Linked DNA regions of Caenorhabditis elegans. The protein of the gene in region 1 purifies or fractionates together with the protein of each later gene. This does not show direct contact. Each region holds a gene or a part of one and is shown in the gene's direction. Other genes may lie near its edges.

The links.
Region 2: the proteins of gly-5 (region 1) and gos-28 fractionate together in Caenorhabditis elegans (co-fractionation; one large-scale study listed by BioGRID). This does not show direct contact.
Region 3: the proteins of gly-5 (region 1) and ndx-4 fractionate together in Caenorhabditis elegans (co-fractionation; one large-scale study listed by BioGRID). This does not show direct contact.

Annotation. Positions count from the first base shown.
Region 1 is NC_003281.10:13,181,902-13,193,305, forward strand, and holds the start of gly-5 (Polypeptide N-acetylgalactosaminyltransferase 5), read left to right. Parts: upstream 1-5,490; 5' UTR 5,491-5,549; intron 5,550-6,208; 5' UTR 6,209-6,234; coding exon 6,235-6,342; intron 6,343-6,397; coding exon 6,398-6,661; intron 6,662-8,226; coding exon 8,227-8,345; intron 8,346-9,390; coding exon 9,391-9,725; intron 9,726-11,404. UniProt on the Caenorhabditis elegans protein: Catalyzes the initial reaction in O-linked oligosaccharide biosynthesis, the transfer of an N-acetyl-D-galactosamine residue to a serine or threonine residue on the protein receptor.
Region 2 is NC_003281.10:7,342,948-7,353,594, reverse strand, and holds gos-28 (Golgi SNAP receptor complex member 1), read left to right. Parts: upstream 1-4,419; 5' UTR 4,420-4,430; coding exon 4,431-4,533; intron 4,534-4,903; coding exon 4,904-5,013; intron 5,014-5,056; coding exon 5,057-5,205; intron 5,206-5,251; coding exon 5,252-5,336; intron 5,337-5,387; coding exon 5,388-5,520; intron 5,521-5,869; coding exon 5,870-5,994; 3' UTR 5,995-6,361; downstream 6,362-10,647. Other genes in the region: F08F8.9 (uncharacterized protein), read left to right, coding at 1-12, 59-176, 739-1,106, 1,487-2,287, 2,871-3,073, 3,656-3,718, 4,093-4,187; F08F8.7 (Ribulose-phosphate 3-epimerase), read left to right, coding at 6,453-6,550, 6,950-7,249, 7,302-7,389, 7,439-7,636; F08F8.6 (uncharacterized protein), read right to left, coding at 7,771-7,815, 7,866-8,132, 8,214-8,276, 8,325-8,374, 8,631-8,723, 8,769-8,868, 9,197-9,397, 9,786-9,824; kap-1 (Kinesin-associated protein), read right to left, coding at 10,022-10,126, 10,457-10,647. UniProt on the Caenorhabditis elegans protein: Involved in transport from the ER to the Golgi apparatus as well as in intra-Golgi transport. It belongs to a super-family of proteins called t-SNAREs or soluble NSF (N-ethylmaleimide-sensitive factor) attachment protein receptor.
Region 3 is NC_003279.8:13,789,388-13,799,789, reverse strand, and holds ndx-4 (Bis(5'-nucleosyl)-tetraphosphatase [asymmetrical]), read left to right. Parts: upstream 1-5,637; 5' UTR 5,638-5,649; coding exon 5,650-5,880; intron 5,881-6,865; coding exon 6,866-7,051; 3' UTR 7,052-7,151; downstream 7,152-10,402. Other genes in the region: W09G3.7 (Williams-Beuren syndrome chromosomal region 16 protein), read left to right, coding at 78-589, 2,199-2,399; Y37H9A.5 (uncharacterized protein), read left to right, coding at 3,269-3,399, 3,470-3,491; ccct-1 (Coiled-coil and C2 domain-containing protein 1-like), read right to left, coding at 7,625-7,738, 8,160-8,270, 9,151-9,376. UniProt on the Caenorhabditis elegans protein: Asymmetrically hydrolyzes Ap4A to yield AMP and ATP.

The DNA of each region.
Region 1 (11,404 bases):
TTTCTACAAAGCTAGGCTAAATTAGGTATAGGTATTACAGGAACACAAAATTCTGAGAACGCGTATTGCGCAACATATTTGGCGCGCAAAATATCTATAAAATATCTCGTAGTATATCTATAAAATATCTCGTAGCGAAAACTACAGTAATTCTTTTCATCCTTTGATTGCGCGTGGTGTTCGCGCATTCCACCGTTCCGCATAACATGATTGAATAGTTTCTCTCTCACTCTCTCCCTCTCTCACACACTCGCTCGAAATCTCTGCGTCTCTATTAACAAGGAAAAGCTTTGCGGCTATCCGATTTAGTGAGAGACTGTTCTCCTATTCCCCCGATACAATACAGAGAGTGAGAGAGGTGAAGAGACGCAGAGAAAACGAGAAAAAGAAATTGCTGATTGACCGAAGAAATAGAGGAGAAATGAAGAAGCATTGAATTTAAATCCGATTTATGACGCTGGTCACCATTTTTAATGCTTTTAATTTTGGTTTTCAATTAATTTTGCTTCAAATTTTCTACCGGGGTAGGCAAAGGCAGGCAGGCAGGCAGACGTTCAGGCCAGCTTCAAGAGGAATTCGTGGAATTTCAGACATTTAACATTTCTTATCAGTCCTCTAATCTCTTAGTTTATCATATACACTTTTCTGGAGCTTAGAATTTTTAAAGCACCTGTTTGTAATTTCCGAACTTCACTTCCTAGTTTTCACTGCTTAGAGATTTTCTTTTCGGCCAATATTTTTCAAATATTACGGGAACATAAAGTTCTGAGAATGCGTATTGCGCAACATATTTGACGCGCAAAATATCTCGCAGCGAAAACTACAGTAATCCTTTAAATGACTACTGTAGTGTTTGTGTCGACTTACGGACTCGATTTTCGAAACTTGTAATTTTTAAAATAATTTATTTATGGATAGAATATTAAAATCAAGCATAAAATAAGAAAATAATATATCAATATTCGAAAAGATATTTATTTCAAAAATGGAACCTGTAAATCGACACTACAGTAGTCTTATTTAAAGAATTACTGTAGTTTTCGCTACGAGATATTTTGCGCGTCAAATATGTTGTGTAATACGCAATCTCAGAATTTCGTGTCCCCGTAATACTAGTTCGAATTTTTTAAATCTGCCTTTAAAAAAATTAAATTAAGCTCTCTGAGAGCTTTGAGAAACGTATAATGATGTCTGCAATTTTGGGTCCTGGCACGAAATTTGAGCTAGTAAGCGACGACACAAATATAGAAAAACCTTTCATTATACGCTAAAACAAGCGAAAATTTCGAAACTTGACGGAGTTATCAATTTTTTTAAAAGAAATTCGAAAAAACATGTAATTTTCAAAATTTTCAAATACTTTGTCGACATAAAATATATAAAACTACACAACAAAAATATAAAATTATATTTTTGAGCAACTCAATATTTTTAACAAAAAAATTTCGACCGTCTCTATTTTTCAGGCTTTTTTCTAGGCCAGAAGTACCGGTTTACAGGCCGTGCTTATTTTTTGATAGAATATTGAAATTTTAAAAAAATTAGAAAATAATACAAAGAAACGGATTAAAATGGAGAATCCCTGTCACTTTTGGGAAAGAAATTAATTTCAAAAATTATGCCCGTAAATCGACACCAGCGCTACAGTAGTCATTTAAGCATTACTGTAGTTTTCGCTACGAGATATAGGTAGTTATATTTTGCGCGCCAAATATGTTGTGTAATATGCATTCTCATAATTTTATTTTCCCGTAATATGAAAATGATAAAATACAAAAAAAAATTACAGTAGTCATTCTATGATTTTCCTGCAAAAACCAACACAAGCGAGCGCTATAGTAGTTATTCAAAGAATTACTGTAGTTTTCGCTTTGAGATATTTTGCGCGTCTACTATTGCAATTTGAAAACCTATATTTTCTAATTTTCCACTCCATTTGATAGATTAAGGTCTGGTCTACTCAGCTGTCTGCACTGAGCTCCCCCCCCCCCCTCCCCCGAACTAATACTGAAGCTTTGAAATTTATGAAACAACATGTGGTTTTTAGTATTCTCTTGTTGTTCCTTCTTCTCCACTTTCTTTTCTGCACAAAATCTGTCGCATGTTGTACTTTTTTTTCTTTATTCAGTTCCCACAGCACCGCCACATATATTGAATCAATTCAATAATATTCATACATGATGTGGCGAAGTATATGGTTTCTGATTTTGTGATAATCTCCATTGTGATAATTTTTTGTTAATAATTTCCATTCATCTACCGTAATCCTTTTTTGTGAGTTTTGTGGTATTTGGTCTTGAAACGAAAAAAATTTTGTAGCTACCATAAGTTTTTGCATTTTTATTATATTGAGCGGAAGCTTAATTTAAAACAGAAAATTGTGAGTTCGGTAGATGCAAAGTTTCGTGGCGAGACCCGGATGAAAAATTTTCGCAACTGGGTAACACGAGAACATCAAATTTTGTATTTAAATTTTTGAAAAAAAAATATTCAAAAAAAATTCAAAAAATTAATATTGCAATTTATCAGTTTAAAGGTGCATTATGTTTTAGGTCTCGCCACGATCTAACTTTATGAATTTTAATTTGGGTTACTGTACCTTCTAAAATACGCAACAAAAACTCAATTCTACGATAATTCTTGAAAAATTTGAAAGAATAGTAAGAGTAAATATCGTAATCTCAAGACTCACGGATTTATTCAGATGGGTCTCGGTGCGCAAAATTCGCTGAAACGGAAAAATACAAGTAAAATGAACAAGGAAACTTTTTGCGCGTCGAGACCCATCTGAATAAATCCGTGTGCCTTTAATAAGTTATGACTTGTGGAAATTAATTTTAGTGTTTCAAAAAAAAGTACCGTATCCATCTTCCATTGAATTTTGTACAATAAAGCATCCAATGACTAATACGGAATTCTTTCCTTTCTGGTTCATACTTTTCTTTTCTGAAAGCGCATGTGCGGCCAGGCTGTCTCATCACGGTTTGCTCTACAAAAAATGCGGGATTTTTTCGCCCTAAAATATGTGACGTCAGCACGTTCTTAACCATACGAAATCAGTTAAAAACTCTGCGTCTCATCTCCCGCATTTTTTGTAGATCTACGTAGATCAAGCCAAAATGAGACACTCTGACACCGCGTGAAAGCGCAAATGTACCCAAATTTTTATAGCTCCCCTTCCAAAGTTTCCACTTCCCTCGTTTCTGCTAAACTGTACAATGTATTTGGTGCAGGAGACCGCTCCGCAATATACGCTCGTAAATTGCAATGTTTGCAAAAATTGACGAGAGAGCATGTCAGACATAAAAATAAGGGACGCGAGGCAAAAAAGTGACACGTTGTTTTATTTTTTTAGCATAAACGGAAAGCGGGTCGTCGAGTGAGATGGCTTTCATTTGTTTCCTTTTTTGTTTTTTTTGTGTGGTGCTACGTGGTTTCTGTGCTTTTCTGGTGTCCTGTTTGGAACTGAATACAAATTTTTTCAGAAAAAAGTTGGCCGGAATCACGAGGTGTCAAAGTGTCTCATTTCGGTTTGATCTACAAAAATGGGGGATTTTTTCCCCAAAAAATGTGACTTCAGCACGTTCTTAACCATTAGAAATTAATTGAAAAGTCTGCGTCTCTTCTCCCGCATTTTTGTAGATCGAACCAAAATAAGACACTTTAACACCACGTGCGGAATTAGAATATCTCTAGAAACATTTTGGCGGGAATTCAAATTTCTATGGAAAAATTTTTGCGGGAATTCAAATTACTATGGAAAAAATTTGGCGGGAATTCAAATTTCTTCAGAAAAATTTCGGCGGGAATTCGAATTAAAATTGTGTATGCACCTTTAAGATTACTGTATAATGTTTTTTTTTCAAATTTTCTTATAATTTACAGATTTTTATAGCTAATTTGTGACCGAGTAGAACTTACTTACTTACTTAGTAACTATAAGAAAACAATAACAATTTTTCTAAGATCAATTTAAAGGCGCTCGCACAAAGTAATTTTGGAAAGGGTCTCACCGCGCCAAATGAATTTTTCAAATAATTTTTTTTCGCGTTCTCATTTTTCCTAGAAATTCCAGAATTTTTGTAGTAAAATTGCAAACATAAGCCCTTTTCGAAATATTTTTTTTCTTCATTAATCGAAAAAATAAGATGATTTGTAGTTTAGCCTAGCCTATAGACATTTTCGTTCCCCTCTCACTACAAGTAGGTGTCTCTGACATTCTCTTCTCCAACCTATTCGTCATGCTCAATTGAGCACGTCCGGGGCTCTTCTAACCAGCAAACAACTCCCCCCAGTTATGACCACGTTTCTCTTTTGTCTTCTGGGTTCACTATCAATAGAAGTTTCCATTTGAGAAGTATGCAAAGGGCGTGGGCGTCTGTTTGAGCAAAATGGGTGTGAATGGTAAGATGGATGATAAGGGGGAAATGATGTTTTTGACGTAAAAAATTTTATAATGTGGAGTATCGAAATCTTTTTAGAACAATTTTAAAATGACTCCCTGATTCCGATATTTAAGTGAAAAAAAAAACTGTGCTTTTTTTAAGGTCACTTTTTTTGTTATATCATTAAAAAAACTAACAAAATTTGTGATTTTTAGGCGGGAAAAGCATATATTTGGATTTTTCGTCCACGGGGTTCTGGGCATTTCTCATTGAATTTTCGCGCTCCATTGATAATCGCCTGCCGGACAGCGCGTGGAAAAGTGTCGTGTACTCCTCACGGACAGCAAACTTCAGTTTTACAACTAAAACGAGCCGCGACGCGACACGCAACGCGCCGTAAATCTACACAAAATCTCTCCGACCCAAAATGGCCTAGTTCGGCAAACAGCCAGAATTCCGTGGAATTCGTCGAGTTTTGACCTAAGAAATGGAAATTTTGTTAGTTTTTTGGCAAAATAATATTTAATTGACCTTAAAAAACGAAACTTTGGAAAAAAGCGACGAAAATGAAGATATTGAAAATCTCGTAAATCGACACATCGCGATTTTAAGCTGAAATATAATATCAGGGAAATTTTTTAGAATTTTTTCACTTAGATATTCGGAATCAGGGAGTCATTTAAAACTATTTCTCTCACAAAATTTCTAGGATACACGGAAAATCGAAATCGTGACTCATTGCGAACTTGAAACATTACAGTTCTCGAGCACATTTGAACTTGACCGAAACCACCGAAAAAAGTAAATATAGTGTGAGAGAGAGAGAGTAAGAGGTATTAGAGAAGCTAAAAAAGATAGTGGTTCTGTTCTATGCTCTCTTCTTATACACCCTCTTCCCTTCCCTTCCCAACTGTTCAAATATTATCGTTAACATGCCTTGCATGCTGCTGCTCATCGTCATTGTCCACGTCAACCTAAAATTTTTAATGTGAATTTGAATTCAGTATGCCTTGGGTCCGAAAAAGTTTGCATTATAAATTTCCTTGTTTTACTCGAATTTCCAATACTACTACTACTTTTCACAATTTAATTCGTTTTTTTTCAGGCAGCAAACTTATATTATCAAAATTGAGGGATATTGAAGCATAAAACGGAGGATTTTCGGTAGGTTACGGTACCCTGGGTCTCGGCACGACAAATGTTTGAAAAAAGGTGTGCGCCTTTAAAGAGTACTGTAATTTCAAACTTGTTCATTTGCGGAATTTTTATTGATTTTTTAGTTTTTCGATGAAAATCTATTAAATTATCAAATATCTAAAGTAAATTTCAAAAAGCTGAAAAATTAATTTTAAGGCGCACACCTTCAATGAGTACAAGGATTTGTCGTGTCGAGACCTGGATCTGTATTTCTGACGCAAAAATCTGAAAAGTGTCATATTAAACAATATTAAAGAAAAAAAAAGAAAAAAACTAACTAAAAAAATCTGTTTTAACATTGAAAACTTGATCATTTTGAGGTCAAACTAGAAAATATTGATTTTTCTTCGAATTTCTATTGATTTTTTTGTTGCTATTTATTAGTTTTCCTGAAAATTATAGTTTTTCCATCATATTCCTGCCAAAAACATGTTCCACCGATTTTGTCCACGTGTAGTACGTAGTTGTCGGTTTCTAGGTCACCACCCGTGTACTACACGTGGACGATGTGTCCTTATTTGGAGTTTTTGTCGAAAAATTTAGTTTTTACTGGTTTTTACTGAGCTGAATCGAAATATTTTGAGAAATTTCCCAATTAAATTAATCAAAAATTAATTTTTTTGCAGATACGGGTCGATTTTGCCGCTGAGAAATGATTATATTCAAGAAAAAGGCGATATTAAAAGTTCTCCTCTTGGTTCCAGTTTTTTGGATTTGCTCGTTGATTTTTTTCGCAGCAACCAGCAATGATAGTAGCCAGGTATCAAAAATCAAAAATAAAAAAAATAAAAATGTGATTAAAATCCCATTTTCAGATCGGATCAAATAACGATCTCGCGAATAAAATTGCGGAGGCGAATTTCCACCCGAAAGCCGCGAAACAAGACGTAATTCAAGGATTTGGGCCGCCGATTGAGCCGGAACCTGTCGTAGAGAATAATAAAGTGGAAGAAGAAGAGCAACCCGGCGGGAACTTGGCCAAACCAAAATTTATGGTCGATCCGAACGATCCGATTTATAAAAAAGGAGACGCAGCGCAAGCCGGAGAGCTTGGAAAGGCAGTTGTCGTCGATAAAACTGTGAGAATTTGATTATTCTTGAGGAATAACGGTTCTTTGAACTTGTGGACTCAAAATGTGCTCAAATTCTCAAAATTGCGAAAAAAATGAGCCAAAAATGACTTAAATTGGCCAAAAATTACCAAAAATGATTTTAAAAATGAAAATATTCCGTATAGATTTTTAATCATTTTAGGGCAATTTCGGTCATTTTTTACTGATTTTTGGCTGATTTTCCATCATTTTAAGTAATTTTAGTTAATTTTAGGCCAAATTTGGTTATTTTTGGTCATTTTTGGTCAATTTCTGTCATTTTTGGCCGATTTTTAATCATTTTTGGTCAAATTTGGTCATTTTTCAGAAATTTTTAGTCACTTCAGCGCTCGGAAATTGCCGAAAATTGGCCAATAATGACTAAAAATGACCGAAATTTGCCGAAAATGATTAAAATGTATATAATATACCGTATTTCTTCTATTAATATGGCCTCCCTATTAGACTTGCACTCCCTATTAGTATTGCTCCTTGAAAACCCTCCGAAAATTAGTATTGCAGTTAGTGTTGCACTCCCTAATAGTCTTGCATCTACTTTTTTTTTTTGGTACAAACCCACCCTACTAATTTTGAGATTTTAACAACATTTTTTGCCTACTTTGCAACAATTTTGGTAAAATTTCTATGAAATTGAAGTTATTGTACCTTTTTGTTGCAATTACAATCAAATTTTCTGAATTTTCACATAAGATTCGAGTTTTTTCAGGAAAAAAACTAGTAAGCTCAAAGTCAGAAAATGTTCTGAAAATTAGTATTGCACTCCCTAATAGTCTTGCACTCCCTATTAGTATTGCAAGCGGAAGACCATCGAAAAATATTATTGCAGCCATATTAATAGAAGAAATACGGTACATATTTTCGGTCATTTTTAATCATTTTTGGCCGATTTTCGATTATGCTTAGTCATTAAAAAAAAGACTAAAAAATTACCAAATTTGGTCCAAAATCACCAAAAATGACTGAAATTGGACAAAAATGAATAAAAATTTCTAAAATATTTAATATTTTAAATATTTATGTCATTTTTGGTCATTTTTCGCCTATTTTGGGCCAAATTTGGTCATTTTTCAGACATTTTTAATCACTTCAGTGCTCGGAAATTTTCGAAAATTGGCCAAAAATGATTAAAAATGATGTCTAAAATATTTTAAATATCAAGTTATTTTAAATATGAAATATTTTCGACATTCCTGGCCAATTTCGGTAATTTGTAGTCATTTTCAACCGACTGCTGATTATTTTTGGTCCGTTTAGGTATTTTTAGCAAAATTTAGAAATTTTAGTAATTTTTGGCCGAATTTTCATTTTTTTTTTTGGTCACATTAGGTAATTTTTAGGTGATTTTGGGTAATTTTTAGTCATTTTTATCCAATTCGCGATCATTTTTTAGCCACTCTAGGTCATTTTAGGCCGATTTCGGCCCCCAAAATCTAAGATTCTAGTGGAAATTAGTTCTTTTTTTTTCGAAATTTTGATGTTTTGCCTTTAAAATCAACGAAAAAAAAAAACTTTATTTTCTTTCTAATTTTCAGAAACTATCGACCGAAGAAAAGGCAAAATACGACAAGGGAATGCTCAACAACGCTTTTAATCAATACGCATCTGATATGATATCAGTACATCGAACTTTGCCAACTAATATTGATGCTGAGTGGGTTTTTTTTTATTCCAAAATTCATAAAAATCGAAAAATTAATTTTTTTAAATTTCCCTAAAAAACTGAAGTTTTTTTGTGATTTTCCGGAAAAAAAGAAGAAAAATCGAATTTTTTCAAAAAATTTTCTTTTTAAAAAAATCGAAAAATCGATTTTCTTGCAATTATCTGTAAAAAACGAGAAGTCGATTAAAAAAATCCTAAAAAAGAAAAAATCAATTTTTTTTTTGTTTTTCATTTAAAAAACTGAAGTTTTTTCTGATTTTCCGAAAAAAAAAAACGAAAAAAAAAATCGAATTTTTAAAAGAATTGCCTTAAAAAAAATGAAAAATCGAAATTTTTAAAATGTTCTAAAAGAACAAAAAATCTAAATTTTTCGATTTTCCGAAAAATCGAAAATATCGACGTTTTTTCATTTTCCGAAAAAAAAACGAAAAAAAAATCGAATTTTTAAAACAATTGTTTAAAAAAAAACAAAAAATCGAAAAATTTTTTAAATTTCCCTAAAAACTGAAGTAAACGAAAAATCGATTTATTCCAAATAATTTTCCTTTAAAAAAAATCGAAAAATCGATTTTCTTGCAAATATCTGTAAAAAAACGAGAAGTCGATTTAAAAAAATCCTAAAAAAGAAAAAATCAATTTTTTTTTTGATTTTCCGGAAAAAAAACGATTTTTTTTTTGAAAATTGGCTAAAATTCCAAAAAATTTTCAAATTTTTGCTCATTTTGATCAGAAAAAATATAGGAAAACCTAGAAATTTCTTTTACAAAAATGTTGTCGATTTACGAAGTATTTTGTACTACACGTGGACTATTTTTTGCAGTTTTTGGCTGGAATTCTTATCTTTTTCTGATTCTTAAAAAACATTTTAAAGTTCAAAAAAAAACTTAAAAATTCTCGAATTTTCTGTATTTTTGAGAGAAAAACGGAAAAAAAGTAAAAAATTCTGTACAAAAAAGCATTTTTTCTGCAAAATAATTTTAGAGAAACAAAGAAAAAAAAATCAATATTTGGAAAAATTTAATTTCTTTTTTTGCAGATGTAAAACCGAAAAATACAATGAAAATCTGCCGCGAACGTCTGTAATCATCTGTTTCCACAATGAAGCATGGTCAGTGCTTCTCAGAACAGTACACTCGGTTCTTGAACGTACTCCCGATCATTTACTGGAAGAAGTTGTGCTGGTTGATGATTTTTCGGATATGGATCACACGAAACGTCCGTTGGAAGAATACATGTCACAGTTTGGTGGAAAAGTCAAGATTTTGAGAATGGAGAAGCGTGAGGGATTGATTCGAGCAAGACTTCGTGGAGCTGCCGTCGCTACTGGAGAAGTGTTGACTTATTTGGATTCACATTGCGAGTGCATGGAAGGTAAAAATTAAATTTTCGATCAAAATTTGTACGGGATAAATTTAATTTAGCCTTGATTTTGGAGTTACTGGAAATTTCGCGATTTTCGACGTTTTTCGACGAAAAAATACAGTTTTCCTGGTCTTGATAAAACAAATTTTCAAAAAAAAAAAAATCAACAAAAAATCAATTTTGTGTCAAAAAATGGAAGGTAAAAATTAAATTTTCGACCAAAACTGTATTGGATAAATTTAATTTAGCCCCGATTTTGAAATTACTGGAAATTTTTTCGACGTAAAAAGCCCGTTTTCCTGGTCTTGTCACGACAAATTTTGGTGAACTCCTTTTATTTTTGTGAAGCTAATAAAATACAAAATGCAGTATAAAAAAAGAAAAAGTGAAACACAATTGCATAGGCTTTCATTTGAGCATATGCGAAAATTCGATGCTTGGTAAGAAAAGTTTGGGCAAAATTTTTTGTAAAAATGCCAAAACCCCTGAAAAAAAAATTTTTAGCAAAAGAAAAACCAAAAATTCAATTTTTCATCAAAATTCCAAAAAAAATCCATTTTCGGTCAAAAAATCTTAAAAAAACCAAAAAAATCAGTTTTTCGTCAAAATACCGAGGAAGTCAATTTTTTGGCAAAATGCCAACAAAAAAAAAACAAAAAAATCACTTCTTCGTCAAAATACCAACAAAACATCAATTTTTTGTCAAAAAATGGAAGGTAAAAAAATTTTTAAATTTTTTTTCAAATTTTCGATCAAAATTTGTACGGGATAAATTTAATTTAGCCTCGATTTCAAAATTACTGGAAATTTTTCGCGATTATCGACGTTTTTCGACCAAAAAAAATACAGTTTTTCTGGTCTTGACACGACAAATTTTGGTGTGCGCAGTAGCCTCTTTTCAATTTTATGAATCTAATAAAATTAGATAATGCAGCAAAAAAAGAAATGAAAAGAAATAAAATTGAAAAAGTTCGGATTTTTTTTAAAGAAAAAAAATCGTGAAATTTTGCAGTTGGGTACCTGAAAACCCTCAAAAAACCAGCTGAAAGTCGTAAAAAAGGCAAATTTTCAATTTTAAAAAGTGTTTTGCACAGTGTATTTTTTTTTATTTTTGTATATTTTTGAAAAAAAACAGCTTTATTTATGTCGAATTGAGTCGAATTTCATTTTTTTAAACTTTTTAGAAGAAAAAATTATTGAAAACCACAAAAAAAAACAATGTTTTCTTCAAAATACAAAAAAAAACCCAAAAAAATCAATTTTTAGAAAAAACAATCGATGTTTCTTCGAAAAACCAAAAAAAAACCAACAAAAAAATCAGTTTTTCGTCAAAGTAAAACACTAAAAAAAAACAAAAGCTAAAAAAAAAAATAAAAAAATAAATCATTTTTTGGCAGAATACCAAAAAATTCAATTTTTCATCAAAATACTGAAATAAAAATCCATTTTTAGTAAAAATTTTAGTAAACAAAAACCTAAAAAAAAAAACTTCTTCGTTAAATATATTATTAAATACCTACCCCGTCAAAAAGACTTTTAAAAAATCGATTTTTTTTTGTGAAAAAAAAAACCATTTAAAAAACCAGAATAAAAACAAGATTTTTTGTGGAAATACTGAAAAATCTTTTTTTTTTTCAAAAAACCAAGAAAAAAAAATCAAAATACCATTTAAAAAACCAAAAACAAAA
Region 2 (10,647 bases), 5.8 Mb from region 1:
TTTGAAAAATTTGTGAGAAAGTCTTTAATTTTTTCATTTTTTATTTTGTTTTTCTCAGAATCACCGATACTGGTAAACCGGCAAGTATGAACGGGCTTTTTGTGGCAGAAGAGGAGGCTAAACTCACTTTACTGGAGAAAAAGGCAATGAAGATCCATATTGAAGAGAATACATTGGTAAGTTTTTTTTTGATTTACTACTTTAAAGTAAAATTAAAAATTCGCTTTAAATGGCAGAATATGGACCTTAATTATCTAATATAACTGTTAAAAAGTTCTATTATTCAAAAAAATTCAATTTTTCAAAATTCAAAAAAATTAGTTGAATGTTTTGAGATTTTCGCGTTTTCTGGCTATATTTATCGATTTTTCTCCATTTTTCTGTAATATTTGACTCAAAACACAGTTTGCCAATTTTTCAAACATTTTTATAATAGAAAAATTATAGCTTTTTTAATGGCAATTTTGAAGTTTTAGCGAAGTTTTATAGTTATTAAGGTTTCTTTACGGAAAGACTTCTGAAAAATAGACGAACTATGTCGCAAATCAAGAGATTAAGATAAACGGAAAAAAACCTTTTTAATATAGACTGAAAGCGCAAAAATATTAAAAACTTGCACAAAAAAAAAGACTAAACATTTTGGTATATTTCATAATTTTTTAAACAGTTTTATTCGATCATTGCTATCCATTTTAAGCCAAATTTGAAAACTCTACCTTAAAATAAACGTTTCTACAGAGTGATCCCCAGTTTCCGACTTATACAACGAAGCATCAAGGCAGAATAAAGTTCAAATGCAGATTGCTATGGCTTCTCAACAAGGAAACATTTATGAAAAGAGCTAATAAACCTCATCTCGCCAATATTGTGGTAAAACAAGCACACATGGAAGCTGTTCCGCCGAAACAGAATGTTAATCAAAAGAAACAGATGAAAAATCAGGAAAAAAACAAAAACGCCAAACCACTGATGGATATCAAATTTGATGAAAAAGCCAGATCATTCAAGCAAAGAACGGGAGAAGATTACAATGGTGGTTTTGATATTTCGTCGAACTATCAAGGTTCGGAAGGATCCGGAGGATATCAACATATCGGAAATACTTGGTAAGTCGTGATTAAAAAACTTTACAAGTTCGGACAACAGGGCTGGGGAAAAAATTACAAAAAAATTTTAGGTGTTGATCTTGGACCAAAAAAATACGAAAATCAAAACATTTAAATTGGTTTAAAAAAACCAAAAAGAAGTAGAGTCTATTAAAGATTTATAGATTTCGAGAAGACTATTAAAAAACCACATTTTTCTTTTTTTAAAAAATTGCAAATTATGAAAAGTGTTTAATGTACTTACTGAAAGTGTTTTTTTGGGATTTTTGTGTCAAAAATTAAAAATTTATCAGCCCTGTTGACAATCGAGCGATTAAAATAAAGAAAGCAATTTTTGAATAAAAAATTATTAATTACAAAATTTCAAAGTATAATTTCAGGCCTAACACCGAGAGTCAATGGAATTACGATCCTTCAACAAATGGATATTCGACTTTCCTTGCATCAACTCCAGACACTTCTACGACTTATCAGCCATATCAACCATCAGAATATGCCAATTTTTCTCGTCAATTGGAATCTTCGTCGAGTTCTGTTCCTGTATATGGTGGAGCTACGGATCCAACACAAACATCAACATCTTCTGTCATTTCGTTTGGTGTTGCAGTGCACGAACCAATATCTGAATCCTCGGCATCTGCTTATGATGATCCAACAAGAAACCATTGGAACCCACAATCTGCCACGAGTGACTATTCAACCGTTCCAACTTCTGGAACTTCCAATGTTTTCCCATCGTACCAGACATCAGAATATTCTTCTTTTCCAAATCAAACTCCATCTTCTTCTTCTTCATATCAACAGTCTTCACAATATACTCCGATGGTTCCAGATTTGATAAATCAAGCAATTAATGGTTACACAACTCCACAATATAATCAACCGAATCAGCAAGTAAATCAAGATTTCAACACGAATCAATTTTCCGCTTCTCTTGCTTCTCTCCATTCACAACCTTTGGAAGCTTCCGAAGATGAACTTTTGAGACAAAAAAGACTTATGGAAATTGAGCAAGAGCTTCATATGATCAACGCGAAGAAAATGCATATGCAAATGGAAGCTGAAATTCGGCATCGAGAAATGGAATTGGCAAAGAGGCAGCAATTGATGGAGCTGAGGGAAAGAGAGCTCAGAGATAGAGAATGTTTCGAGAATGGTAGAACTCATGCGGGTCATACAGGGTACGTTTTTGAAATAATTGAACAAGTCCTTTTTTAATACTATCCCATATTCCTGTTTTTTTTCATATTTTTCTGCCTTCTCTTTTGAAGGATAAGTTGATATGAGAGATTCCACTAAATTCCCAATATATTCGTCTAATTTTTTTGAGATGTAACAATCAATTGATTTTTCTTTGATTATTTAATTGAAATTAACCTTCGATTACGATCACAGTTTTCAACTTTTCATTGTTTCTTTCGAATTCAGAAACATCGGACAGTGACCTCTAGTTCTGAAGTAACTGAATTCGTTCTGGCTAATCATTGAAAGACTCTGAACGAAAATATTTGAAAATGGGAAAATTGTGGCTCAGAATGTTATAATCGATCGTTTGAGATTTCTAATCGCCATCTGTAAAGCTCTGAGATACTCGTTTAGAATTACATCAAGCTTAGGCTTTGTGAAACATTTTGTGTCCATTCACAAAAAAGTTTGAGGAAATATATTTTGTTTTCTACTTTTATTCCCCCTATTCAACCCCCCCCCCCCCCATATCTTGTAGAATTTCAGATTAACTGATATTCTATTATCCCCTCTTTTCAGCCAGCACAACTATGATAATCGAGAATACAGTTCCCATCACGAATCTAAAAATCCATCTGTTGGCGGCAACTATTCTTCGACTTCGCGGTCGATAAGCATCAACGAGGATCCCGCTGCTTCTCACTATTATGGACAACGAGTCGAAAGAAAGAAGAGACTGGGAGGAGAATTAGCGAGACGACAGGGAAGAGTCTACGAAGAAGGTACAGACAAACGATTTCACATGATGACGCGTTTTCTTTCTTGGATTTTCGATTTTTCTCTCTTTCATAATGTTTTTTGGTTATTTTTGCAGTCAGTATTCAAATCGTAACAGAGGGTTTTTCCAAAAATTACGATTAGAACTTCTGACGCTAATAATCTTCAAATTTGACTATTTCTACTCCCCATCATTGGACTTCCACGTAGGCGTCAAAATGCCTGCCTCGCGCCTCAAACCGGTGCCTTCTGCTAAAATACACATGAATTTAATTTTTTCATTTCTCAATTTGATTCACATTAAATTGATTGAAATTACAAAATATAAATTCGTAAAGTAATGTCAGAATGCAGAAAGAGGCGAGAGGCTGGAAGGTTTCAGGCAGGCACCTAGACCTTCAAACCACGCATGCCTACCTACCAAGATGTATAATACCTGTTCGATAATTTAACGATTTTTGAAGCATAAAATCAAAATTTGTTGGTTTTAATTACTGGGCTGAATATACTCATTCCTGATTCAAATAATTCCCAGCTGATTCCCCAAATCTTCTTATTTCAAATATCCTCATACTTTCTATTTTCAGTTTCAAGCCCAGGCCCATTGAAGCGATCGGCTGATCAAAGTAGAGCAGGAAGTATTCAACCAGGTAATCAAACAAAAAACTTTTTTCAATCATAACCTATAGGTCTATAGTTGCAAAAAAATCGAGTTTTGATGCAAAGTTACAGTACCCGGTCTCACGCCTTTCAAGAGTACAGTAGTTCGCCACCCCCAGTTATTTAATACTTTATCTGCCTTTTCATTGACATTGCTCTTAAAATTTCTTTGAAAACAAATATTAAATAAAATAATTTTTAAAAGTATTTGATGTGATCACATCAAAGAAACGAGATAAATAGCAAGGAAAATTCGCAACTACAGTAATCCATAAAAGTTCATAAATGTTTCTGTCGCGCCATGACCGGATCCAGTAATTTCTTATCAAAAATGGCAAAGTGGTAATACACATATTTTTTTCAGCTGAAGGTCCCAGCAGGAAACAACGTCGTCGTAACAACAAAAACGTTCAAGTAACGGTCAATATGGAAGATATCAGTGATGACGAAGAAGTTTGATTCACAATTGGCTGGAAAACTTTGTTTTGTTCGAAATCAATTCAATCGTAGAATCGTTATTGGAAAATCTCGTTCTTTTTTAATTCAATTTAAGTTTTTGAATGAAGTTTTACTCATAACTTCCGTTTAATTTTATTTGTTGTTAATTTTCTAATCGTCAAAATATCGATGAATATATTTATTTCTCATAGTAGTGACCAACATTTCAGTCACTCGAAAAAACAATACTTTCAGGAACACAGAATGTCAGAAACTTGGGAAGCGTTGCGGAAGAAAGCCCGAAGCACAGAAAATTCCATCGATGTCAAGCTCGTCTCCCTGAATAAATTAACGGCTAGCTCTCATGGTAAGTATTACCAAGAATTTTACGATTTTATCCTCAGAAAATACGATACCGGGTCTTGACACGAAACATTTTCATAAAATACAAAAAAGTGTGCGCCTTTGAAGAGTACTGCACTTTCTGAATTGTGTTGATGCGGAAGTTTCAAAAAAAATATATGTATTTATTTGAAAAACCCAAATATTATATATTCTGAAAAAAAAACTTTAAAAAAGAAAAAGAAACTAATGAAAAAACCAAAAAGGGCATTTATAAAGAACATTTTCGTGTCGAGACCGGGTACAGTATTTTTGGCGTTTGAATAACCAACTTTCGAACATGTCTCTCAGAAAAATATTTAATAAACATGTTTCCTATTGAAAAAATATTTCAGGCGGTTTTGACATCGACGAGAAAACAGTTTCCTCAAGACAAACGAGCTTCAAAACAGTGACAACAGAAATCGAAGGATTGATAGAGCAATTGACAAATATCAATGATGATGTTAGTTTATTTTCAATTTTGTTTTTAAATTCGTCAACTTCAGATGAATGACGTAGCTGGTGCTCAATCCTCGGCATCTTGGGCTAATAATCCAGCCATTCAACACACACTTCGACGACATCGAGAAATTCTTCGAGATTACGGTAGTGAGTATCGACGTGCAAGAGATAATGTTGATCAGGTATTACAGAGGTATGAAAAATACTTTTTTTAAATTAAACAATACGATATTATTCAGAGAACTCTTGTTGAGCAGTTCAAATGAAAATCGTAATAATCCTATACTGAACAACAGGGCTCGTGGATATGATATGTATTTGAAGGTATTTTTGGGAAGAATTTCAAGAAAGTAGTACTAATTAATTTAATTTCAGGAGAATGACCATATAAACGCTTGTGATCGATTGTTAGATGAACAGTTAGAAATGGCAATGTCAACGAAAGAGAATATGGCCAGACAGGGAATTAATCTACGTGGAATATCAACTCGGCTTCATCATATTTCAAGTAATTTATCTTTAAAAGGGAAACAATTAAAGTAAATCTAAGTATTTATGAACATTTCTGATAAAAATGTTCCTGAAACACCCGATCTTTTTTGAAATCGTCAATCTAGATTAATTTAGACCTAATAAACTTGAGTTCAAATTTCTTGCAATACAGTTTTTTGACAAAAAATCTTTAAAAAAAAACAACAAAAAATTTATTTGAAATTTGGACCGAAAAACAAAAGTTAGAATTTCTCCAAAAAGCCGAAAAAATTTCAAAAAAAAATTCCTCCTTTCAACTGAGACTCAACATTTTTGAAAAACAGTTTTACAAGCTGCATAATAATTATCAAAACAACTTTTTTTAGAAAAATATCCTGCAATTAACAATTTGATGCAAAAAATCAAAACGAAAAAGCAGAAGAACACACTGATCCTTGCTGCCGTCATCTCATCGTGCCTTATTTTTACAATTTTCTGGATTATCAATTAATCAGTTTCAAATATCAAAAAAAAACTCAAAAACTTTTTCGAACTCCGATTTTCGTATTTTTCGAAGAAATTTAACAATCGGCAGTCGTAACTTTTTATCAAGTTTTCGAGTTGTTATTACTTTGTGTCAATGAAAAATAGAAACTGAATGATAAGAATAATCGATTTTTGTACTATTCCCTTGTCCCTTCATACAACGCACACCACTTTCATTGTGATATTCCTCACCGTTTTTCTAATTTTTACTTGTAAATAATTTTCTCGTTTTGTAATCTTTCGAGTATAATGGAGTTCTTGGCTTTTTCGTTTTTTTCTCGATGTGAAACAATTGGGTATACATATTTATGAATTAAAGTATTATTTAAAGATTTTTTTGAAAGTTTACAGTTGAAAGTTTAATTCTATAACTTTATTTGTTCATTGATTCTGGATGATAAAATTTATTTATCTAGAATTCAGATGACCCTCCGTCCATTTGTGTGTCCATCAATTCTGAATGCCGATCTTGCATCATTGGCTTCTGAATGCAAGAAACTTTTAGCAGCTGGAGCAGATTGGTAAGGTGATCTTTAGAAATTCTGAATAGTTTTGACAACTACTTTCATATTTAAATGTCCCTTTAGATTTCAAAAATCTAAATGGGAACGCACAAAAACCTCTTCTGAAATCAACATGGAAACGTACTCCACGGCCAATTGGAAACGCTCCGACCCCCCGAGATTACGGTCTCGTTAGGTATTTGGCCACAAAATCGCAAATTGAAATTGTTTTCATCTTCAAACACAAATTGGCAGGACTAATTGAAAACGCTTAAACTATCAATGTCAATACCTAATGAGACCCATGGTTCGAGGGGCGGAGCGTTTTCATTTAGCAGTAAGTAAGTAACGTTTCCACTTGGATTTTCAAAGGATTTACTTTCTGCGTTCCCATAGTATCCAGCTCCCAACTTGCAGGCTTCACCTCGACGTGATGGACGGTCACTTTGTACCAAACCTCACATTCGGTCACCCTGTCGTTGAATCTCTTCGTAAATCTCTTGGTGCTGAACCATTCTTCGATGTTCATTTGATGGTCTCTAATCCTGGACAGTGGGTTGAACCGATGGCAAAAGCTGGTGCCAGCCAGTTCACATTCCATTATGAGGCTGTAGATGGTGATGTGGCAGTCAGTGAATTGATCGAAAAAATCAGAAAAAGTGGAATGAAAGTGGGATTATCGGTCAAACCGGGAACTTCTGTTGAGCATATTTTGAAGTAAAATCAAAATTATATTTCAATCTAGATTTTAAATTAAAAAACTTTTTAGACATGCTAATCATTTGGATAATGCTCTTATCATGACTGTGGAACCAGGATTTGGAGGACAAAAGTTCATGGAAAACATGATGGAAAAGGTATTTATTTTGGTTTTTATTTGATACGAATAAAATTTATGGCTTTCAGGTTCGCACAATCCGTTCAAAATATCCAAATCTGACTATTCAAGTTGACGGAGGAGTAACACCTGAAAATATTGAAATCTCTGCTCAAGCTGGAGCCAATGCGATCGTGAGTGGAACTGGAATCATCAAAGCTGCAGATCAATCTGTCGCCATGACAACAATCAGAAATGCAGTTGAAGCTGCTATTTCGAAGTGCTGATTTTCTTAATTACTTGAATATTGTTTTGAATTTTGAAGCTCATTTTTTCAGAGCTTTTTGAGGTTGTGATGTTAATAGTTAGTAAATGATTGTCAATTAAAAAATTCAAAGCAGCATTTATTTATCTATAAAGTTCAGATGGGCTCTGCAGTTCCTAGCTTCGGGGTCGGAGCAGGTGTCTGAAAAAAGAGCATTACAAAACATCATGGACCATTCTTCAGTTGCTTACATTTTTAACACTTTCCTTCTCCTTGCTCGGAGTCTTCTTATCCTGATTTGATGGCAATACTCCAGTACTTCCAATTGTATCTTTACTCGGAGTCTTTCGTGGTTCGATATTTCCTGCCTCTTGGCTCATTGCAGTATTCAACGACGGCTCCTTGCTTCTTCCTCCAGCATTTGCAGTCTTTGTAGATTGCTTCGGAGTCAACATGATCTCACGAGACGGCTGCTTACGATTCGGAATTGGAGGAGGAGAACGTGGCAATGTCTTTTTCTGAAAAATTGGTTGTACTTTTGCTCAAGATCTTGGAGTACTACAAAAGCTAAAAAATATTTCGAAAAATAAAAAACGAACCAGATCAGTCTCACTCTCCTTTGGTGTCTTCTGTAAGCTGAGCATGGCCGATTTTGGAGCAGGCTGAAAATTGATTGAAATGAATGAAAACACTCGAGTGAACATACAAACCTCTTCAATAGTTCCAAGTGTCATAGTCTTCGATTTACGAGTATCTTCATCTGAAAATTGATTTCGATTATTTGCAAGAAATAGACAGACACTTCACCAGTCCCTTTCCTTCTGCCTACCTAATACTTACTTCACACCTGCCTGCGTACGTGTCCACCTCATCCCTACATCTTACGGCTTTGCCGACTTGCACAACCCCCCTCAATACCTACTCCCTGTCTATCTGACCACCAGGGCAACCAAGTTGCTGGTTGCCGAAAATTGGAGCGTATGGCAACTAAACAATAACCGAGTTCTGATTCTTACCTCCCATCGTGTCATAAACACGTTCAATATCAGATGGTGGAAATGTGACATCTTCTGGATATCGATTATCTTTTTTTCCTGGTTTTGTTTCCTCTGAAATAATGAATTTTGGAGAGACAGATACAGAGAAAGACATACGTTTTTGTCCATTTGTCGAGTAGTTCACATTGACAGAACCCAAATGATTAGGATGACAGATTTGTTTGCAGATTTCGATTGGAAGGAGAATTTGCAACGCCTGAAACTAGTAAAATTAAATAACTTTTTATGAAAACTTTTCTATCATAATTTGGGGCATTGACCAAAACCAATTTTTTCTAAAAATAACCTTATCGAATGTTTATTTTTGTATCGGAACATTATAGAAGTTCGAAACTACAGTTTATTCGTTAGTTTTTCATCATTTGACTTGAGAGTCGTGATAGTACTTCAGAGACTCTTCGGATATCTACAGTAACCTACAAGTGTATTGTATGTGTGAATATAATGTTTTGTAGAAGTATCCAAAAGAGAGGTGTTCAATTCACAACTATCGAAAAGGGCAATTTCTGAAGAGTTGAACTTGCCTCGTCAATCAAATCGATGATTGCATTATCCAAATCCTGTATCGTACTCCATAGTTGAAATGCGTTGAAAACCGAGTAAATGGTACTCAACAACGCGATGAAGCAAAGTGCAGAAGCTACAATCCATAATCCAAGTGCCAGTTTATTATAATGAAAATATTCACACTGGTGTTGCTTGAGTAAGTTATCGATCGTTGTTGTCTGAAAATCCGATTAACATGAGAACTGCTAATGAGGTTCCCAGCCACGATGCAACTAGATTCCACTTCAAATTAAACGTGTCAAGTATTAAGAAACCATCGGTGCATGAGAATGTCTACTTTCTGGCGCGAAAATGGCGGCAGGAGAGATTCTTCGGATATCTAGAGTAATCTAATTGTAAGAACATGCGGCGATGAGAATTTAGGTACCTTCGCTACGAGATATTCCCGCGCCAAAACGGTAGGCATTCTCATGATCTCATGGTCTCTTAATAATTTCTCTTATTTTCTTCTGTGGCATTTTTGAGTCCTAGACTCTTTCAAGTACTATATGTGTCCCCATTCACTCCACCTTTAAGATTCACAAGATTGAAAGTTTCACAACTTACCGAAATTATTGCAGTTGTAACATTTGAAGAATTGTTCATTTTTGAATAAAATGAAGCAGTCACTTCGAGGAATGAAACACTAAATGTGAAACACTACATGGCCAGAGAAAATTTGACCTTTCAAAAGATAAATATTTATACGTGAATTTTGTTTTAATTTTTTGCATATAAATCAAAACATTCATTTATTAAGTAAAAATATATAATTTGTAGGTTAAAAAAACAACAAACAAAAGTTAAAAAAGGGGCTCATTCATATCAAATCCATCATCATAGTGATCAAATTTGAGATCAGCTCCAAAATCTTCATCATCGTAATCTACGAATTCGCTGTCGTCTCGCTGGAAAAACGATTTTTAACCGGTGACTTTAGAGCCTATATTAATGTAATGTAACTCAAGCTGCATTACTGCTATCCTGTTTCTACCGTAACACTCACCGTAAACTACTAAATAGATTCATTTAAAGTAATGATGTTTTTGATACATATTTTTAACGGGATAGTCAGAGTGTCTTCGTTTTTGAAAGTATTTTTATACAGAAATAAAACTAGGAAATGCTAGTGACGTTAAATTTCCAAAACCTTGTATAGTATATTTGTATAGTGACCAGTATCATAATATTATTTGTACCAATCAACGAATAAATTGTTAAAATAACTACGATCATACCTCAACCATCTCCAACCATTGTGCATTGTGCCATTTGAATCTCTCTCCAGCTATCCGTTTTGCCCATTCTTTTGAATGTTCACCCATTATCAAAAGGGCATTATCGCAAACTTCTCGAACCACTGCGTTTGCATCGTGCATCAAATCGATCATATGGGCTCCGAGAGCTGAATCTTGAGTCATCAGGCGAG
Region 3 (10,402 bases), on another chromosome or scaffold:
CTGAGTTGCGTTCGGAGCTCCAAACTCGGATTTTCATAGATTTTCATAGATTTTCCTCCCAAAAATTGAATTTCCAGAGTCTCCACTACTTCCCCTGTCATTTCCAACCTCGGAGCCAATAATCTCAATCCACTGCTCAATGGACACATCATTTGTCGTAGATTCCAGTGGCGCCGTATTCAGTTTCGGCCTAAACGAGGACGGCCAGTGTGGAAATGAGGCCTACGGGATACAATGGGAACCGGCAAAAGTTCGAGGAGACGTGGAAGGCTCGAAAATCCAAAAAGTGTCAGGATCCACGGATACCCTACTTGCCTGTAGTGAAAACGGCGAAATTTTCATTTGGGGACAAACGGAGTACGGTCAAGCGGCTGGAGCAACTGATGAGATTCAATTGAATACGTCACGCCACGTGGCAAACTCGCTGGGACCTATAATTTGTGTTGATAGTACACAGTCATCTGTTGTGGCACGAAATTCCCGTGGAAATGTCTTTGTTTGGGGTGTTGGAGTACTTGGAATGGGTCCTGAAGCGGAATCTCTCAAAACGCCCACGCAAATGGATCAACCGCTTTTTGATGGGAAAATGGTGATTTATGAGAATTTTCATGTGGAAATTCGAACTCAGCGACCCCTTTTATCCCTATTTATGTGGAAGCTAGACAGATTCCGCGAAAATTTGAATTTCTGTGCATTTTGGCGTAGGTTTGGCTGAAAATTGCGTACTTTTGGGGCTACAGTAACTGGAAACACTCGAAATTAGCGAGGGGCACGGGTGGCTAAGTGGTAGTGGTGTACCGCTGTCACCCAAGAGGTCGCAAGTTCAATCCCACCTCACCCCAAAGGTTCACCCAGCCGGCTCGGAAAGTGGGTAGTGAATTTGGTTCACGAAAGGTAAATCGGCCATACGGCTAGTCCCGGTACGGCTTAAATTCAGACTAGAAGAGATATAAACGCCACCAGCAACCCTGATAAATCTCTTGTCCGCAGGATGCTTAGGCTCACCCTTGAACCAAACGGACAACCTTTACCTTTACCTTTTTTCATGTGGAAATTCAAACTCAGCGACCCCTTTTACCCCTATTTATGTGGAAGCTAGACAGATTCCGCGAAAATTTGAATTTCTGTGCATTTTGGCGTAGGTTTGGCTGAAAATTGCGTACTTTTGGGGCTACAGTAACTGGAAACACTCGAAATTAGCTTTCGAAGCGCGGAAAACAATTTCCGGTATTAAAAAAAGCCGCAGAATTCGATTTTCATGTTCAAAAGATTTGAATTTTGAGTTTTTAACTCAAAAATGCAATTCTCAAATGGAATTTGAATTTTCTACCAATTTTTCTCTTCGAATTTGGGCTCAGCGCACCTTTTTACCCCTATCTAGACGTTTTTCGCGTGATTTTGAGTTTCTGTGCATTTTGTCGTAGGATCCGATGCCCGGACGAGAAATTGCGTACTTCTGGAGCTACAGTACCCCAAAAACTCAAAATTAACGCTAGAAACTCAGAAAAAAGCCCTGAGGGTGGAAAATGACGGAGAATTCGAATTTCTTGTCGAAAATACTTGAATTTCAAGTTTTCAACTGAAAAAATCTTTAAAAATGCCATTTTCAACTGAAATCTAGAGTTTCCACCAATTTTGCTCAACAAATTCTAGCTCAGCGACCCTTTTTACCCCTAGCGCGACGGTTTTCGCGTTATTTTTGAGTTTCTGTGCATTTTGGCTGAGGATTCGGTGCCCGGACGAGAAATTGCGTACTTTTGGGGCTACAGTACCCCAGAATACTCAAAATTGGCGTTAGAAGCCCAGAAAAAAGCCCCCGGGAGTGGAAAATGACGGCGAATTCAAATTTAATGTCGAAAATACTGGGATTTCAAGTTTTTAACTTGAAAAAAATTTCGAAAAACTGAAATTTTCTACCGGAATTAGAATTTTTCACCAATTTTCCTCATCGAATTTGAGTTCAGCGATCCTTTTTACCCCTAGCGCGACGTTTTTTGCGTGATTTTAAGTTTCTGTGCATTTTGTCGTCGGATCCGGTGCCCTGACGAGAAATTGCGTACTTTTGGGGCTACAGTATTTCGGAAAATTTAAAAATATGATTTTTTAAAGCATTTCTCACCCAAAATCTCAAAACTAACGCTAAATTTCCAAAAAAAAAGCAAAAAATGCCTGGAAATTTAAAATTTTCAAATTTTCAGGTGACCTCTGTCTCTGCCGGCAACAGCTGTATGTCTGCAATCAATGAAGACGGCCGACTATTCATTTGGGGAGAAAATCGATATTCAAGCTTAGGCCTCGGACATCAAAAACGTCAATTATTCCCTTATCAATTATTTCTGCCGGGAGATGTACGAAAAGCTGCACTTGGACCTGATCATTCTCTGTTTTTAGTTAATTAATATTGATTTTTTATTGATTTTCTATATTAAAATTGGATTTTATTTATTTTTCGCTATTTTTTATTGATTTTCGGTGCTTTTTGCGTTGTTTACACACGCTTTTCATATCTTTTCACATGGTTTTTTGTTGTTTTTGGTAAATTTTCTCACTGATAAGCCTTATCAGTGTTTTTAAAAATAATTTTTGAAACCTAAAATTGAGTTTTTTGGGAGAAAAATGTCAATTTTTGGTTTCAAAAATTATAATTTAATTACTAAAAATCTAAAAATCGCCCTAGCAGCGCCCACGTGGTGTCAATCTGTCTCATTGCGACTCATCGCGAGAAAATGCGGAAAATTTTTTCAAAAAAATCGTGACGTCACAGAGGCGAGAGTGCAATAGAGCAGCTTTGCTGCCGATGGCCGCAATTTATTTTTTCAATATTTTTCTGCTTTTTATCGCATTTTCAATTGAATTTCAGTAGTTTTCAGATGAATTTTTCGAATTTAATTGTGTCATTATGTTTAATTCGTATTTTACTTCATACAATCGACCCAATTTTTCGTTTTTTCCGCTTAGTTTTAAGAATTATCGTGAGAGAACGGATTGTTGGGCGAATGAAGCCGTTTCATATATGTTCTCGATGAAAACGATAATGTTAATAAGCTTTACATGTACTTTTCGGTTCTATACTTTCTCAATCCGTCTTTTCCTTATCTAACCAGCGTTTTTTTCAGGGTTTCGTCCGTTTCCGGGCCTCAGTGAGCGCGGGCAGATCGGAGAGTTCGAGATCGTCGAGAGAGAGTGAGAAGTTTAAGTAGCTCACACAGGTTTGTGTTGAAATCGAATTGCAAAGTGAAAAGTACAAATTTTGAAGGCAACACGATGCATGGAAGTCGAAGAATCACACCAATCACAACCAGAACAACACGGCTCACCGTATTGGAATCACGAAGCCAAAGATTTTCCTCTCCATAGAAGGAAGTCGACGCCAAGTTCATCAAGAACCTCCGCTTCGAGGTTAGATATAGATCCGGGGATCTTTCTTTATAATAATCCGAAAATCCCTAAAATCAAATTTCCGTTTCAGGTTCTCGACTTCCACAATGTAAAATTCCAAGACTACAACGTTCTGACCGATCAGGAGCTGAGAGAAGGCGTCAAAATCTTCAGCTAATGGCCAACAATTCCACAAGTCTATGTGAAGGGAGAGTTCGTCGGCGGATGTGATATTCTCATTTCAATGCACAAAGATGGAGAGATTTCCGACGAATATGGGAAACAATAAATGCTTTTTCATGTTAAAAATAAAAATTTAGATTTTTTTACTCGAATAAATCATCCAGATTGTATTATTTATTCAGCAAAAAGTGCTCGGTAGGTTGGTCGAAGACGAGTGAAGGGAATTAAATTTCAATAAATAAATGGGGCTCATTTTTACAATAAAATCAGTGAAAAGGGGGTAATTGATAAAAAATCGAAATGTATCCTTATTTCCACAACTTCTTAATGGACATATTCTTCTTCTTAATGGACATATTCTTCATTCTTCTCCGAATCCTTCTGCATAACCTTTCCAACAGCCATCTCGAAATCCTCTCGTGTCACATGAATACGTCGCTAACGGAGCGCAAACATACCAGCCTCGAAACAGACTGACTTGACTTCGGCTCCCGATGCTCCAGGAATTTGCTCGGTGTCGAGGATGTCGATACGGTTGGTTGCCATGATAACCTGAACATATATATTTAGAAATTAGAAAGTTTTTGCATTTTCCCTACCTTAATACTCTTCTTCGTTGCCTCAAATCCATCGAGTTGATTGATCAGCTCGAGCATAGTTCTCTGAACTTCCGAATCTCCTCCACTAGATTCTTTAACTCTGCTTGGTCCGATTGGATCGATTTAATCCATGAAAATGATCGATGGAGCATGCTCACGAGCCATCACGAAGACTTCATGCACCTGAAAGCATTGTAAATGTAAAGATTATTATGTCGATCCACTTACCATTCGTGTTTATTCTCCAATAAACTTCTGCACCAACTCGGAGCCGGAAACTCGAATAAATGTGCACTCAGTGTGATGAGCAACTGCACGAGCTAACAATGCTTTTCCAGTTCGTGGTGGTCCATAGACCAGTTTTCAACAAAAAATTAACTTTAAAAATGACAAAAAGTTATATTTTAAAGGAATGAAAGAAAATAAAATAAAAATCACAATCTCTCGTAAATCCTGCCCGCTTGTCTGCATTTGCGCGTCAATTTATGCGCCGCGTGTTTGCGGCCAATACACCGAAAAACACCGATGAGACAGCTTGACTACACGTGAGCGCCGAGAAGCTTTTGCTCTGTGAGCTTCAAATAGGAAGCTATAAACTTTCGATTTGAAGCCCAACGAGCAGCTTTTCGGCTCTGCTGGGGCGCAGAGTTGCGTTCGGTGGCAGAAACTGGAAAATTCTGAAATTTTCTAAACTAATTTTCGAATTTCCTGCCATTTTTACCCCTAAAATCAACTTTTTTCGAAATTTGGTTCATTTTCTTGTAAGCTACAGTTTTGACGTACTTTTAGAGCTACAGTACTCCAAAATTTTTTTCTAATTTTTAAAATGTTTTTTAGTAATTCAGAAACGCGAAAATGTTTCCAAAAATCAATTTGTCTATAAAAATTGCAGAAATTGAAAAAAACTAGAAGTTTTCTCTATATTTTTTCTAGAAAACCAGAAAATTCTTTTTTTTTTAATTTTTGTAGCAAAATTTCTTAGGAAAATCCAATTATTCACCGAAAAAAAAATTTTTAGGCCGTCTAAACGTCCTTTTCGAATTTTTTTTTCAGTTTTTCTCAATTTTTGCCAAAAAAAATTGGATTTTTCAGTCAAAAATTCAAATTTTCACCTTAAAATTGCACAAAACCGCCCCAGCAGCGCCGAGAAGCTTTTGCTCTGTGAGCTCCAAATAGGAAGCTATAAACTTCCGATTTGAAGCCCAAAGAGCAGCTTTTCGGCTCTGCTGGGGCGCTGAGTTGCGTTCGGAGCACCAAACTCGAAAATTTGAAATTTTCAGCGTAAAGTTTACCGAAAATATGTTTTTGAAAAAAAATTCCGATTTTTCTGATCAAAATTTCGAGTTTCCCGCCATTTTACGCCTAAAATTAATTTTTTTCAAAATTTGGAGCTTTTTGTCGTGTGCTCCTATTTTTTTTAATCCAATTTTAACAAAAAATCGATATTTTCTAAAAAAAAAAATCCAGTTTTTTTCAGCGCCAACAAAAAATGGTCGTAAAAGCCGCGGGACTTGTGATCTACCGGAAGTTGGCGGGAAAAATCGAGTTTCTCCTGCTTCAAGCCTCCTATCCACCACATCACTGGACCCCACCAAAAGGTCACGTGGATCCAGGAGAAGATGAATGGCAGGCGGCAATTCGTGAGACTAAGGAAGAAGCTAATATTACAAAAGAGCAACTGACAATTCATGAAGATTGTCATGAAACACTCTTTTATGAGGTGTGTGTGTGTGTGTAAGAAAATCGATAATTTTTATCGATTTTTTGATGGAAAAATCGATAATTTCCGGCGAAGTATGATATATTCAAAATTTTCGAATTTTTTAATGAAAAAATCGATAATTTAATTTCGATAATCAATAAATTATCGTTTTTCCGATGGAAAAATCGAAAAAATTAAAAATTAAATAATATCCTGCGAAAATCGATAATTTCGAATTTTTCGAATTTTTAATAAAAAATCGATTTAAAAAATTTCGAAAAAAAATCGATATTTTCGAAATTTTCGATTAAAAACCCGAAAAATCGATAATTTTGTGCGAATTTTCGAAAAAAAAATAAATTATCGATTTTTTAAATAGAAAATCGAAAATTTTTTTTGAATTTTTTTTTTTTTTGAATTTTTTTGAATTTTTTAAATGGAAAAATCGATAATTTATTTTAGAAAATCAACAAATTATCGATTTTTCTAAAACTAAATTTTCATTGAAAAATTTTTTGAAAAAAATCTCCGATTTTTCACCAAAAATTCAATTTTTCTGCAATTTTGCGGAAAAAAACACGAAAATATCGATTTTTTCGGAAAACTTATCCATTTTAAGCTTTTTTTGGGAAAATTCGGGATTTTTCGATTTTCTGATAGAAAAATCGATATTTACCGGCGAAAACGAAAGAAATTTCCTTTTTTCGTAAATTTTGTAAAAAAAATTGATTTTTTTTTCACAAGACCCTGAAAATTCAATTTTTTCCAGGTTTTTACACTGAAAAAAATTTTTTTTTTGGTTTTGTGAAATGTATCGATTTTTAGGAAAAATGGCAAAATTTCCGGGAAAATTCTGGAAAAAAACGCAATTTTTCCGAATTTTGAAAGAAAAAATCGATAAAAAATTGGGTTTTCAGCGAATTTACATATTTTTTAAATCGATTTTTCATTTGAAAATTGAACTAAACACTAAAAAAAATCCCAAATTTCGCTAAATTTACAGGCAAAAGGGAAGCCAAAATCAGTGAAATATTGGCTCGCCAAGCTCAACAATCCAGACGACGTTCAACTATCTCATGAACATCAAAATTGGAAATGGTGTGAATTGGAAGATGCTATCAAAATTGCCGATTACGCTGAAATGGGCAGCCTTCTCCGCAAATTTTCCGCTTTTTTGGCCGGATTTTAACGATTTTTCACCGATAATTTCATATTTTTCGAAAAAAAATAATTTTCATTTATTTATTTAATGTAAACTTTTTATTTAATATAAATCTTTTCATACACAATTGTTCATGATGCTCTCTCTTTATCAAAAATATAATGCTCGTAATTATTAATGAATGCGTGTTGTCTCAGAGCCTGATAAAACAGATTTTTTTTCGAAAATTTCAAAAAGTTTTTTAGGGTTCAGAGATCAATTTTGAGTCCTCTAACTGTCCTTTTTTTTAATTTAGGCAAAAAAATAATTTTTCTGAAAACGTACAAAACCATCAATATTTGAAAAAGGGCAATTTTTTAAGGTTTAGAGATCAATTTTGAGTCCTCTAACTTAAAAAATAACCATTTTAGAGAAGTTTCAAAATTGTGATTTTTGCCGTTTTTTTTGCCATTTTTGCCACTTTTTTCTAAATTCAGCATATATAAATGTTACTCCTCTGAAAAAATTAAAAAGTCGTTAACTCTTCCGATAAACCAAATATTTATATTATATTCAAAAAAAAACACATTTAAAACATCGAATCAAGTAGAAAGAATCCATTTAATTATCTAAAATGAGCCATTTCTGGGCAATATGTTGAGCTTTTGCATCACCAATTGGTTGACGAATTCGAACTTTCGCCGACAAGAGACCACCAACTGCTTTACGGCCGTCCTGAAACGAGAAAAATTAGAAAATTTTACGAAAAATCTAATTTTTTATCGGAAATTCGAAATTTTCCGTTAAAATCAGTACGTTTTTGAAAAAAAAAAAAAAAATTTTGCCCAAAGAAAAAAAAAAGTACAGTCATTAGATGGCTGAAAAATGAAAATGGGCAAAAATAAAAAGTTGTCTAAATTGATTGAAAACGGGTAATTAATATATGCAGAATTCAGAAAAACTAGGTTTAACCCGTCAAAAAACATTAAAAATGGCAAAAAAGTGGCAAAAATCACAATTTTGAAACTTCTCTAAAATGGTTCATTTTGAAGTTAGAGGACTCAAAATTGATCTACAAACACTAAAAAATTGCTCTTTTCATAATTTGATGTTTCTGAAGAAAATCAATAAATTACAAAAAAAAATCGATAATCACCTTCAATGGAAGTGATTCTTCCATTTCAGCACTATGTTCCAGCTTCTCCAATTTCCATTCACAAGTGCCCAAAAGTTTGTCGCTCCGCATGAATCCACCTTTTTGGAATACCTGAAAATTTTGAAAAATTATCGATTTTTGGAAAATGTTTTGAAGAAAAAAACAATTTTTCGACTTTGAAAAAAATTATAATTGTATCGATTTTTTGGGAACATTGTCTCTCCCTTTTCAAACTTTTCAAAAAACATTTTGGCGGGCAGGAATTCAAAAAAATTTAATTTTTTGAAAACAATTTTCGAAGAGCTAAGGTATTGTAGGATTACTGTAGGGTTACGGTAGATTTGGAAAAATTCGAGTTTTAAGATTTTGAAGAAGTATTGGCTTGGAAGTTGGTGGGAGACAATTTTTTGGTGTGAAAAAATGTTGGTAAAAAATTCCAAATTTATCTAATTTTTGAAATTAAAAAAAATAAAAGTATCAAATTTCAATTTTATTGATTTCGTGATATACTTTTTTGTTGAAAAATTCAATGTTTAGGTTAAAAAAATTTTTTTTTCGAATTTTAGGAAAAATCCGTTTTTTTTTCTTGGAAAAAAGTAATATTACAGTGTTTTTGATTATTTGAAAATTTATTTGAATCAATTTCAATTCAATTTAAAAAAAAACCAAAATTCATCGATTTTTTGAAAAAAACAATTCATAGTTAAATTTTTTCTGAAAAAATTAAATTTTTCGAAATTTTTTTATAAAATTTGGGAAAAAAAATTTCTTTTCGAATAAAAAAAAAATCGATTTTTCAAATAAAATTTTTTAAAATCAATATTAGGAAAAACATATAAAATTTTCATTTTTTTTTCTGAAAATTTTCTGAAAACTTATCGATTTTATTCTTATTTTTTCAACAAATTTATCGCCTTTTAAAACATTTTTAAATCAATTTTTTCTCAATGTTTTTTCAAATATTCCATCGATTTCTTCTTGTAGATAATACCTCAAACTTGAGACCTCCTCTCTTAAAAGTTCTCTGTAGTTTGCTATTTCTTGATTTTCCACTTCCAATATTCAACATAATCGATTCGCCGAAATCCGGCGAAGCAGTTCCGGCAATTAATTTAGTTTTTCCAGTCTGTGGTAGATCATTGACAACTGCTGGGAATGTATATTTAATAAATAGATTTGCATGATGAGTTTCATATCCTGATGGAAGGGGCACGTCTCTGTGAAAAGAAAAAAAATATTGATTTTTTTTTGATGAAATTATCGATTTTTTCATCAAATTGGCAAATATTAGTCAAAAATAAAATGTTGAAAAATCTGTCGATTTAAAAAAAAATTGATTTTTCCATAAAAACTAACAAATGTTTGTAAAAAACAATATTTCTACAAAATTTATCGATTTTCAATGAAATTACCGATTTTTGGAATGAATCATCGATTTTTATGGAAAGTATCAAATTTTTGCAAAATTTATCGATTTTTCATCAAAAAAAAAAATTTTATGAAACTATCGACTTTTCCATGAAATTTTCGATTTTTCCAAAAAAAAAGTTATGGTCTTTTCATAAAATTAAATAATTTCTGTCAAAAATAAGTGTTTCTGAAAAAATTATTTTTTCTATGAAATTATTATTGATTTTTGGATGAAATTATCGATTTTTTAAATGAAAAAGTTTTTTCAAAATTTTAATTTCTGCAAAATTTATCGACTTTTTCTCTAAAAAATTTTCTCACAAAATTATCGATTTTTTTCGATGAAATTATTGATTTTTCCAAAATTTTGTGGAAAAAAATGTATTTAAAATATATTGTGGAAAAGCATTGATTTTTGGATTGAATTATTGATTTTTTTAAAATGAAAATATCGATTTTTTGATGTATTTAACGGTTTTTTCATTGAATTATTTTGATTTTCCGCGCTAAATTTATATTGATTTTTTAACATCAAATTATAAAATTGTCAAAAAATTTATTTTCAAGAAAATCGTCGATTTTTTAAAAATTTTTAAAATATCGACCTTTGGGTGAAATTATCGATTTTTCCATGAAATTATCAAATTTTCGTCAAAATTTATCGATTTTTTCTCTAAAAAATATTTGAAAAAATAATTATCGACTTTTATGAAATTTATCAAAATTTTTAAGTATCAAATTATCGACTTTTCAGTCGAAATTATAAATTCTCTGTAAAAATTCAGTTTTTAAAAAAATAATTTCTCTTTAAATTATCGATTTTCCAGTGAAAA